Nothobranchius furzeri: one gene and its partners. The protein of the gene in region 1 interacts with the protein of each later gene in a biochemical or structural test. Links are inferred from orthologs where the notes say so. Each region holds a gene or a part of one and is shown in the gene's direction. Other genes may lie near its edges.

Region 1 (3,755 bases):
CATGACATGTGACATGCATGTTTTGGGTGAAAGCTGGGTGGACCAAATCCACCTGAGAGGATTTAGCTTTTTAATAAATTCAGTTTAAAATCAAAAGTGAATGATTCTGTTCTTACAGACCTTTATTTGACAACTTGTCTTTTCAGTGCTGCGTTCAGGAATCTGGCTCGGTGAGGCGCTCATGAAGGCGCGGCCCTAAAGCAGACCCTGCCAGGTCACGCTGGAATTTTCCAGCCCCCGATCAGGTTTTCCCACAATGCACTGGGTCACCATACAGTACTGCAGCTCCCACAATGCTTCTGGCAGTTGTTGACAGATAGGTGGATAGATATGTAGCTTTCCTTTTGTCACATGTTTCCAATCTCATAGATCTTTACTTAAAACATGAAACTGATTTTGTTTATTTCATGTTTATGTAAACATTCGTGCATCTGCCTCAGCATCTTTGACCTGGCTCTGGCACCACTGGACCTGTTTGCTTCAGCTCATCTTTTGTTGAATGTTTTTGCTTCATTTGTGACAGCAGGAAGCTGTGAAAGTTTGCGTGGCTGATGTCATTGATGCATTTGTTGATTTGACTTCAAATAAAATCTGAATGTTGAAACTTTTATGTTGACCTGTTTGAGCCATCTGTTCCTTGGTCAATACAAGATGTTTGTTTTACTCTGACAAATCCTCCTTCTGGTTAAGAACCATATTGTCAATGCCTTCTGATACAAAATTAAATCATAAATGATTTTAATCATCTCAGAATAAATTTTTTGATCACACCAAAATGTTTCAGTGGTCTGATCAGAGTTTTTCTGGACAAGCTCTTCAAATAAAACTTGTTGAAAGTTTAAAAAAAAATGCATATGTTCAAATGCGTTTTGACTATGGTTGTAAACAGTGATGGTTTAGATCTGGACCCCATGTGGTTCAGATGTAAATTCAAGGTGGTTTGTGAGGAAAATATAATCAGTATTTTCTGCTGTTGAGTTTACCATTTTAGGTTCAAAATAGATCTGGTGAGTATTTCTAATAATTTTAAATATTTTTGTATGATGGAGAACTTTGACGCAAATCACACTTCATTTTAAAAATATTATATGCAAAATTTACTGATATTATTTTTACTTTATTGATAACATTATTTTTGTAACAGAACCTTAGTCAGAGTGATTGTAAGTTTAGTCCTGGAATAGTTCTATCATGTTGGAGGCTTGATTTTGGCATCAATAAAATCAGTTTCAAACTGAACCATTAAATTTGTGTACTGCATTGATTATTCAAGAAAATGGAATTGGAGATAAATATATTACTATCAAATAATATGATTTTCTTAAATTTGTTTTAACACATTTTTAACGTCGCAGTTCCATCTGAACTTTGCAGGGGGCGCTAGTGAGCTCACCGTTAGAGTACAACTTCCGGTTGTAACCGCAGAAGGCGCAGAAAGTAAAAGCTAACATTACAATCGTTCGTTTCGGTGTTCTGGGGCAGAAGTAGATTTTCTTGGACCGCGAATTCTCCGTTTGAGGTGAGACGTGTCACGTTCGAGCCGAACACATGAAAACACCTGGTGGTGAGTGAGAGAAGCTAACTGCTAACCAGTTGTGAGAGAAGCTAACTGCTAACCAGTTGTCTCTGGTCGTGATGGTAAAACGAAACTCCATCCGTTTAGATTTTGGACCGAAGCCACCTGTTTTTGTTATTTTAGTGACACATTGACTTCCTTGAAGAACACTTTGAAATTAATTGCGCTTAAATGAATACGCCTGTAAACAAATACCATCCTCAGTACTGTAGATTTAGATGGAAGTACTGTAGATTTAGATGGAAGGTATCAGGTGTGAGGAGTTTCTACTAAGGTGTAAAGATACTAGTGAGACCAGCCATGTCTGCTTTAGAGACAGCGTCCACAAGGTAAAGACAGGAAGTAGAGTTAGAGGTTGCGCAGCTTAAGAAGAAAGGGGCAGCTTATTGTGGTGACAGAGGTGGTATGGGTGTGCTGGTACTAAACAGAATGTTAAGTTAAAAGATTAAAACAATGCCATCTTGGGAATTTCACCCAAGGAAAATAAAATGGTACCTTTAGGCGCACATAGGTTCAATGCTCTCACAAAGGCGACAGAAACGAGGTGTACGCAAAGTCCACAATTTTATTTCGTGTTTTGTTAAAAGGACAGCAGTTTAAACTACTAATTTAAAAATAGAAAGGGAGAATTAAAACAAGGAAAGAAAATAATTAGTGTTACCAGGCTGGAGCTTACCAAGGTAAGGTGGACCCACTGGAGGTTCTAGCAACAACACAAACTAAATACCAATAGTCACCCAAAGCACCAGTGAACAGTCACACAGATGTGAAGGGGGGCCCACACCAACTCGCACACGGAAGAACCACCGCCACCACCCTTGGCTCCAGCCTGGACAAATAAAAGTTAAAAACCACAATAAAATAAACTCTGTTGAAATACAATAGTGCTCCAAAATCCTCATGCGTCAGAGGTGAGAAAAGGTCTCCCTTTCCACTCCAACCAACATGCTGGGCGGGAGAACGTCTGGCGGAGGAGCACCAGCACTGGTTAAAATCCTCGGTTATGCTCTGAGTTTACATGCAGCCAATATCCGGGTTATGATCGGGTTAAGGTCGGTATTCGGGTTTCTGAGTTGATCAGAATAACCCGTTTACAAGCATAATAAATAGAAAGAGTTACCCCTAACTTGCATAACCCGATTTAAATGCGGACGTTGGGGTAGCGTCAGGACGTATGGACTACGTCAAGACGCAATATGCGTCATATTTCGCTGTCTCTGTACTTTCGGCTGTCAACAAAAGACATAATGTTCATACTTTTCACCAGACCGATGAAGACAGGTTTCCTCGTCACTCCAAAAGTGTGGTGCTGTGCCGCGACTCGCCATGTTGCTCCCATCTTGTTTACTTCCAGTGTTCTGGCGCATACAAGACGTCTCGCTTCTCAAAAGACCAAGATCCCTTGCGAACAGAGCATGCGCAGAACACACGCTTTGAAGGGGATATCCCGATATGTGTTTACACGACCAAACATTCGGGTTAGAAAAGGGTTACCCCAGGTGTAGTAACCGGGTTTTTAAAAACCCGGTTATGAGCATATCCGGGCTTTTGGCGGTGTTTACATGGCCGTGCGGAACCGGGTTATTGTGAATATTCGGGTTTTAAAAGGGTTACTGGCTGCATGTAAACGTACAGTGAGCGGTGGCCCAAACTGCTCCCGATAGGTCGGTCCGCTCTGTCGAACCGCTCCTCGGTTGTTGAGGGAGAGAGGGGAGGGGGGTCACAGCAGTGACTCAAAACACTTTGTCGTAGCATCACAACACCTCGGGTCCTAAACAAAAAAGGTAATAAACCTTATTAACCCAGAAAAGAATATTCATACTGAGCGTGCAGGGAGGGGGCGCACCGCACATACATACCACGCCGACAGCAGTAGATCACCTAGAAGGCAAGCACGCTTCTTTTCCAACAGCATGCGGTAACGTTACATTATGTTAGATGTTTTGGAGTCAGAGAGGACAGACTGAGTTGGTTTGGATATGTCCAGATGAGAGACAATGATTACATAGGTAGGAAGATGATGAGGTTAGAGTTAGGGGTAGACCGATATTGCTCATGTAACGGGTATTACAATTAAATAATATGAAATAGGTATTGAACTATTGTCTTGACAACTCTGGACCAGTATCAAAAGTTCTAGGTAAGATTATGGAGCCTTGAAAGGATCAGCAGAGAAGGA
Region 2 (3,655 bases), on another chromosome or scaffold:
CTTAAAACCTTCACCTAGTTGTTGTAATCAATACCAAATTATCCGAGACCACGACATTACCAAGATGAGAGAGAACCAAGACCAGGCCCTTGACCATATTAAAGATTAAAGTCCCATAGTTGTCACTAGGGCTGCACAATATATCGTAAATATATTGTTATCGCGATATCAGCTTGCACAATATGCATATCACAAAGAACAGATAAATATCGCAATGAATGATCAGCTCAAATGTTTGCTACACATAATGCATTCTGTCAATCAAATGGAAGCCTGATGTTTTTTTTAACAAATCAAATAGAGCTCTTCACCCATTTGGCCAAAAGGGTGGGTTCTCATAGATTAGATGCCCGCCCCTGAGGCGGACAGTACTTAATTTTGATGGTTAGCAAACACATGAGTTAGCTTTGTTCTGCTCTTTTTGCTGATTCTGCTTTTCCTGGGATCCACTGATTACCTTTTCTTGTTCATTATCTTTTTCCCTTTCCTCACATCTTTTGCTTTTCTCGTTTTTTTTTTTCTTCTTTGTTTTTGATTATTTTTGTTCATGAGATAAGTTTTTATTTATTGCAAGTAATATTGTTATCGCAATTTAATCATTGTTATCGAATATAGCCGGTTTTCCTAATATCGTGCAGCCCTAGTTGTCACACACACTTGTGTGGGGAGGCGCGGTGTGCTGCAGACACGGCTGCGCTCGGGAACTATTTCGTAGTTTAACCCCCCAATCCAACCCTTTAAAGCTGTGTCAAGCATTGGGTCCCATTTTTAAAGGCCAAGTAAAAATGCCTTTGTTACCAAGACGAGACCAAGCACATATAATATTAATATCAGATAAGGAGAAACAGCCAGCTGCTACCACTTCAACTTAAGGACAAACTACCAGAGTCCCAAAAAGAAAAAACACCATTTGAAGTCACAGACACCAAAGATGTTTAGGCATAGAAAAATGTGATTGTTGATTTGTGCTCTCCCATTTACTCTGGCAATGCGCATTCCCGTATTGGGGGGCGTGGCCTAGCCGACGGAGGTATGAGAGTCTTTTGACTGTGTTTATATGGAATGGCCAACTTGCTGTGCTGATTTGGTAAAGCAGCTTCAATACCAATGGTTCAGAAAATATGATTACCACCCCTGTAACGTTTATATTCGACAGTAAACATTTGGGTAACCTGTGTTCTTTATTGGGGCACCGGGGGAATGTTTTAGTCATCATTGTCCTTTTTTGTTTTTAGGTGGATTGTAGATATGGAGGGAGCGCCCGGTACACTCTATGAAGGAGAGAAATTTCAGCTGCTATTCAAATTTAGTAGTCGATATCCTTTTGATTCACCTCAGGTAAGAGCAAAGGGTGTGTGTGTGTGTGTGTGTGTGTGTGTGTGTGTGTGTGTGTGTGTGTGTGTGTGTGTGTGTGTGTGTGTGTGTGTGTGTGTTCGCATATTTAAATGGGTCCTACAATTCAACAACCACTTTTACCTTGTTGTTGAATAGAGGCAACTTGAGATGTCTATGTAGCGTACCAAAAAGTCTGCAACTTGTAAATTAGTAAAGTTGTAATGGTCACGGAGAAACGGTTCATCCTGACAAAAACTGGTTTAACGCGTCATAAGCATAGACGCACCTCCCTACATTAGCATGCTCCAACCCACTTCAACATCCGCAATGAATAAACTTTGATCTCAGTAATGCTAACTGCAGAAAAATGCTAGCCCGAGCTACTGCTAATGTTCTTATAAACAAAGGGAAAACACATGTAACGTTCCAGGATGTACAGGGTATATCCAAACTTATAATGAATGCCAGATAGATCTGTAGCTTTCTATTGAATAATATGGATATTGTACACTGCTGTACAGAGATTCTAGCTTGAGCAGTGTCATTGAGCCATTAAACCAGCCAATCAGCATGCAGCTCATTTAATATTCATTATCAGAGCTCCTAGGGCATTGTGGACCCCAACAAAGTGTCATGTGCTTTATATGGCGCTTGCACACTAGCGTCGTAACGGTCGGGGTTTGGTCGGGCAGGATGGCGTGAGTTTGGGCTGGTATGGTCGGTGTAGTGTTTACATATTAATCCGAGGAACTTCTCAAGATGCGGAAATCCCCAAGCCTGTGGGGGGCGCTTAATACGCGCGGGAAAGTCCGTTCCATAAGGTACCAAAAGGCGGACATGAGCTGTGTTGCTTTTGGAGACTCTGAACCACATTATTTTATTAATTTACTCTGTGTCCCCTCATAATCTTGTGCCGCCCACCCCCTGATTTCTCCCCTGAGCAGCTGTCTGCTTGCGAGGGGCAAGAGCTCCGATGCGGAGAATGGGAGCATGCATGCACACACACACACTCAAACAAAGCTATTCTTTTCTCCCGCTCCCACACTTAATAGCAGCTCCGGATCGGCAGCTCCGTGCAACAGACAGAAGTTAACTCAACAGCATCCAGCATGAAAATGAACCGCACATGCAGGAACCCCCGGCTGGCTGATTCTTCTCGCAGATCGGAGGCGGTAGGCGTAATTTCAGCCGGCCAGTCAGTCCGTAGTGTCGCCTCGGTCCCAGTCTGACCGCTGGGGAGAAGGTCTGGGAAAAAGTCGCCTCGGCACTGAAAACGCTAATCGGACCGGTGTGTGAAACCAAATTCCGGTGCCGTTCGGTACCTTATGGGCCCGTACCTACGCTAATGTGTAAGCGCCAATAGAGGCTCAAAGAAAAGCTGTTGTAGATCCACGTTTGTGGATCTTTATCCATACCATACCATACCAAGTTTATTTATAAAGCACATTTAAAAACAGCATGACAGCTGACCAAAGTGCTGTACAGTAGTAGTAAAAGGAAAACCCCAAGATAAAAACAAGATAAATATCATAAAAGAGATAAAAGGGATAACCTAAAAATGTAAAAGAAACATACTAGAGTAAAAACAAAGTCACAATAAAAACAATGCTAAAAGGTTAGCACATTTCAACAGGGAAGATTCTATAACAATAAAAGCTTGGTCATTGATCAAAAGCTAAATAGTAGAAGTAGTCCTTCAGTACAGACTTGAATCAACCCAGTTCTGGGGCCTGTCGAACACTAAGGGTGAGAGCATTCCAAAGTTTAGGAGCAGCGAACACAAAGGCCCGCTCCCCACGAGATTTATACTTCATTTTTGGGATGTACAAAAGTAAATGATCTGCTGATCTCAGGGTTCTGGGTGGAACATGAGGCATGAGCAGTTCTGACAGATGAGCAGAGGCTTGACCATTCAGGATGTTGTAAACTAAGGTTAAGACCTTAAACTGGATACGATATTTAACCGGCAGCTAGTGCAAGCGTGCAAGGACAGGTGAAATGTGACAGCGTCAAGAGGTGTTTGTCAGGAATCTAGCCGCTGCATTCTGCACTCTCTGAAGCCTTATCCAGCCTAGTTGAAAGGGTCACTCATTTCTTACACTGTCTTAGCTTCAGTTTTCTTTTATGATGTTTTGACAGTAATGTTTGAATTCAGCATCACTAGATGATCCGATATTGGCACCTATCTGTTAAGAGTTCTGCAGCGGGGGCACTAAAGCCCAGAGGACCACTTTTCTAAACTTAAGTGGAAAAACTTTTGTGTCTACCTTATGGGTGGCTGCATTAATCATTTTAAAAGCTGTCTCTGTGGTTGTTCCGT
Region 3 (3,447 bases), on another chromosome or scaffold:
TATGGAATTGCCACACAGAAGAGTAACGGATCAGGGAGCAGAACGTTCCAGCAAAACCCAGCCTCCTCTCTTGGTGTCCCAATTCAGCCAGACAACAGAGCAGAGCAGCAGCCTCAACAAATCCTCATTCAGTCTCCTCAGGTTATTCAAAGTGGAGCACCTCTTCAGACCATACAAGCCAGTACCGTTGCAAGTGCAGGTGGTCAGGTGTTTGCAGCTCCAACACTCAGCCAAGAGGGGCTTCAAAATCTTCAGATTATGCCAAACACAGGGCCTATCCTCCTGCGCACTGTAGGCCCTAATGGCCAGGTTAGCTGGCAGACCCTTCACATCCAGAGTCCAGCAGGTGCACAGATAACACTAGCCCCAGTGCAGTCTCTGCCCCAGCTCGGGCAGACTCAAGGAGCTACCGGAGCTGGAACGGTACCGGTGCAGATCCCAAATCTTCAGACCATAAATCTCAACTCACTTGGAAGCACAGGGCTGCAGATGCATCCTCTGCAGGGAATCCCCATCAACATCACAGGTGCATCAGGTTAGACCAGCTTGTTTATAAGTTTCTCATTATGTGTCTCAATATGCTTTATAATAACCTCCAGTCAACAGTAGGACCATGCTTTCTATAACTCCTGAGTTATGGAAAACAAATTTGTGTCATTTCTATTTAATTAGCCCACATTTTATCATGACTGTTTACGAACCATTTATTTCCTAAATATGATAAAATTTAGATGCAAAAAGAGAAAAAGTACATGCAAACAACAACAATGTCTCAGGATTAGTATCTTTAAAATGAGGTTTCGATGTTTGGTATCGCTTCACTTTGCATGCAAGTTAAATTCTGGTTAAACCAGTTCTACTATCTGAGTTTTCCCTGAGCCTTAAACTGTAAACAAGCTGTTTGTGTTCGATTTCTTCATCTGATAGTTAAATTACACTGAAGGCAGTTTGGCATAGTTACTGTATTACACAGGGTATCCGCGGGTCCTTAAAAAGTCTTAAATTGACTTTTCCAAATTTAAGGCTTTGAAAATCCTTAAAAATGACAAATAATCCTTAAATACAGTTTCCAAAGGTCTTAAATTACCAAAGACCCAATAAACTAGACTGTTTTATTTCTATGACATTTTTGTGAATTTCTAGTTAGTGTTCAGCATTTTTTGTGTACGATGTTGGTGTAAGCGGAACCGCACATATTCAGTTGGTTGTGAAAGGGAGCTATTTTTAGATGAGCACATTCGCTGGTTAAGCTAGTGGGAGCTTACGCCATGGAGAAGTGCAAGTTTAATGGTAACTGGATGGCTAATCCCACGTTCGTGGCGTGGTTAGGAAATTATAGCAGAAATTACATTTTAAAAAATAGCTTAAATTTGGTCAAAGTGGCCTTAAAAAAGGTCTTAAAAAGTCTTAAATTTGACTCACTTCAACCTGCAGTTACCCTGATTACAGCACAGGACCATTCCCCTCTTCTCTCAACCCTGTTTGTGTTTGTTGCTCCTAAATTGAGCAAATTCCAACAATTGTGAGAAATCAATTATGGAATATCTGATTCACCTTTCAGTGTCAGAGCTGACTTTACACTAGCATTTACACAAGTGTGGAGGGTAAAAAAAAGCGTAAACATTCGTATCATTCAAATTGGTTGAATGGTTTTGTTTACAATGGTACAACAAAACACTATAATCCTCTCCAGTTAGCCAGCTATGTGGAGATGAAGCTGAGTTTTTGGTGTTCAGTCTAAGCATGCACTTCTCTTCCCATGGATGCAAAATGCATTGACCAGTTGTTCAGCCATTCTGGCTAAGCTGCAGACAATTAACGGCAACTTGTTATTGTCATAAAAAATTAAGTAGAAACCTTGCTGAAAAGTGTGGTTGTTTTCTATACCGAGTTTGATAAATAAAATTTCTTCAGACAAAGAAAATCCTCAACACTTTTTCCCACGCTCTTCCTTCATGGGTGTAGGTGAGCAGCCGTTGCTGACTGCTGGAGAAAGTTTGGACAGTAGTGCAGTTATGGAAGATGCAAGCATGAGCCCACCCTCTCAGGGGCGCCGGAACCGCAGAGAAGCCTGCACTTGTCCTTTCTGCAAAGATGGAGAAGCCCGGTGAGTGACTGAAGGTTATGTTATAATGTCATCCTGGTCAGATTTTAATGTAACTCTGAGTTTTTATGTTCTTATGATGAAATGTTATTTGTAATTAGTTTTTCACAAAAACAAAACATGCTTTTATCTTAAAAAAAAACATTTCGTAAGTACATTTGTCAATGCTGGTCAAAAATGTCTATTTTTCTTTCATTACATGAGATTTAGTGACATCTAGTGGTGAGGTAATTCAGGTTTGCTGTTTGAAACCATTTAATTGCTCATGTGTTTTTTTTTTAACCCTCTCAGGCTCAAAATAAGTTTGGATAAAAGGAAGTGTTGTCCAAGTGTTTTGACTGTTATACGTTGTTTATTCATTTTCCACTATGGAAATCACCAAGAGACGAGTGAGCATTGGTGATGATAGAATGAAGAACTAATGTTTTAAGTTCCTGCAATCTTCCATTACCCCAAAATTCCACTACCTCCGCTCCGCCCCCGCCTTCCGCAGCCGCTCCCTTCCGAACTCAATTTTTACTGGTACCCGCTCCGGTGCGGAGACCTGAGGTGCGCAAACGGGCATGCGCGGGATTTTCGAGATCTTGCAATACAGTCCGAGCAATAAACGTGGAACTTAGATCCAAACACCCGACCCGTTGTGTGGGAGCAGCATCGAAATGAACTGTTTAATCTGCCCATCATTTGTGTTGAGAGATCAGCAGTGCTTGGATCAACAAAGTGTGACTACTTTGATTGTAGAAACTGTATTTATGGCTTATTTTTGTGCATTTAAAGTTCAGCCGCCATTGATAGTTGTTAAAAGTTGTTAAACCTGTGCATATGAAACAAAAAACGCCTTTTTTTAATCAATTTATTGTGAAATAACGGAAGCTGTGTTTACTCCTTTTCCTGTTGGGCGGTTGTGGTTTCTGTCCATTGACTGCGGAGGTGCTCCGGCGTCCGGCAAAAATAGAATCGATCCTATTTTTGCCGGATGGCGGAACGGCGGGCGGCGCACTGCGCCGCACGGCCACAGTAGTGGAACAGCTCTGATTGATTACAACGGGATCGATTTTGCTGCGGAGTTCGTGCCGGAGCGCAGCGGAGCGGAGATAGTGGAATTTTGGGGTTAGTGTCCATTCTTACTTCGATACAGAGGGTAATTTGACCTAGAAATTTGGAAGCAAATAATTCTTTCAAACTCATGTTTTGGCAATTGTTTATTTTATTTGTCCAACAGAGACCCAAATAAAAAGAAGCAGCACATTTGTCACATTAGTGGCTGTGGGAAAATTTACGGCAAGACATCCCACCTCAGAGCACATCTCCGCTGGCACACTGGAGAACGTCCCTTTGTCTGC

Evidence for each region. The genes of interacting proteins can lie anywhere in the genome.
Region 2: the proteins of rnf4 (region 1) and ube2wb form a complex in vitro, tested with the Homo sapiens proteins (2 studies listed by BioGRID). The link is inferred for Nothobranchius furzeri from reciprocal best matches to the Homo sapiens genes RNF4 and UBE2W.
Region 3: the proteins of rnf4 (region 1) and sp1 form a complex in vitro, tested with the Homo sapiens proteins (2 studies listed by BioGRID, with this or other methods). The link is inferred for Nothobranchius furzeri from reciprocal best matches to the Homo sapiens genes RNF4 and SP1.

What each region holds. Positions count from the first base shown.
Region 1 is NC_091741.1:64,325,217-64,328,971, forward strand, and holds the start of rnf4 (E3 ubiquitin-protein ligase RNF4), read left to right. Parts: upstream 1-1,373; 5' UTR 1,374-1,519; exon of another isoform or gene 1,520-1,564; intron 1,565-3,755. UniProt on the Homo sapiens protein: E3 ubiquitin-protein ligase which binds polysumoylated chains covalently attached to proteins and mediates 'Lys-6'-, 'Lys-11'-, 'Lys-48'- and 'Lys-63'-linked polyubiquitination of those substrates and their subsequent targeting to the proteasome for degradation.
Region 2 is NC_091747.1:53,051,239-53,054,893, reverse strand, and holds part of ube2wb (probable ubiquitin-conjugating enzyme E2 W-B), read left to right. Parts: intron 1-1,235; coding exon 1,236-1,338; intron 1,339-3,655. UniProt on the Homo sapiens protein: Accepts ubiquitin from the E1 complex and catalyzes its covalent attachment to other proteins.
Region 3 is NC_091743.1:62,039,727-62,043,173, forward strand, and holds part of sp1 (transcription factor Sp1), read left to right. Parts: coding exon 1-535; intron 536-1,965; coding exon 1,966-2,107; intron 2,108-3,326; coding exon 3,327-3,447. UniProt on the Homo sapiens protein: Transcription factor that can activate or repress transcription in response to physiological and pathological stimuli.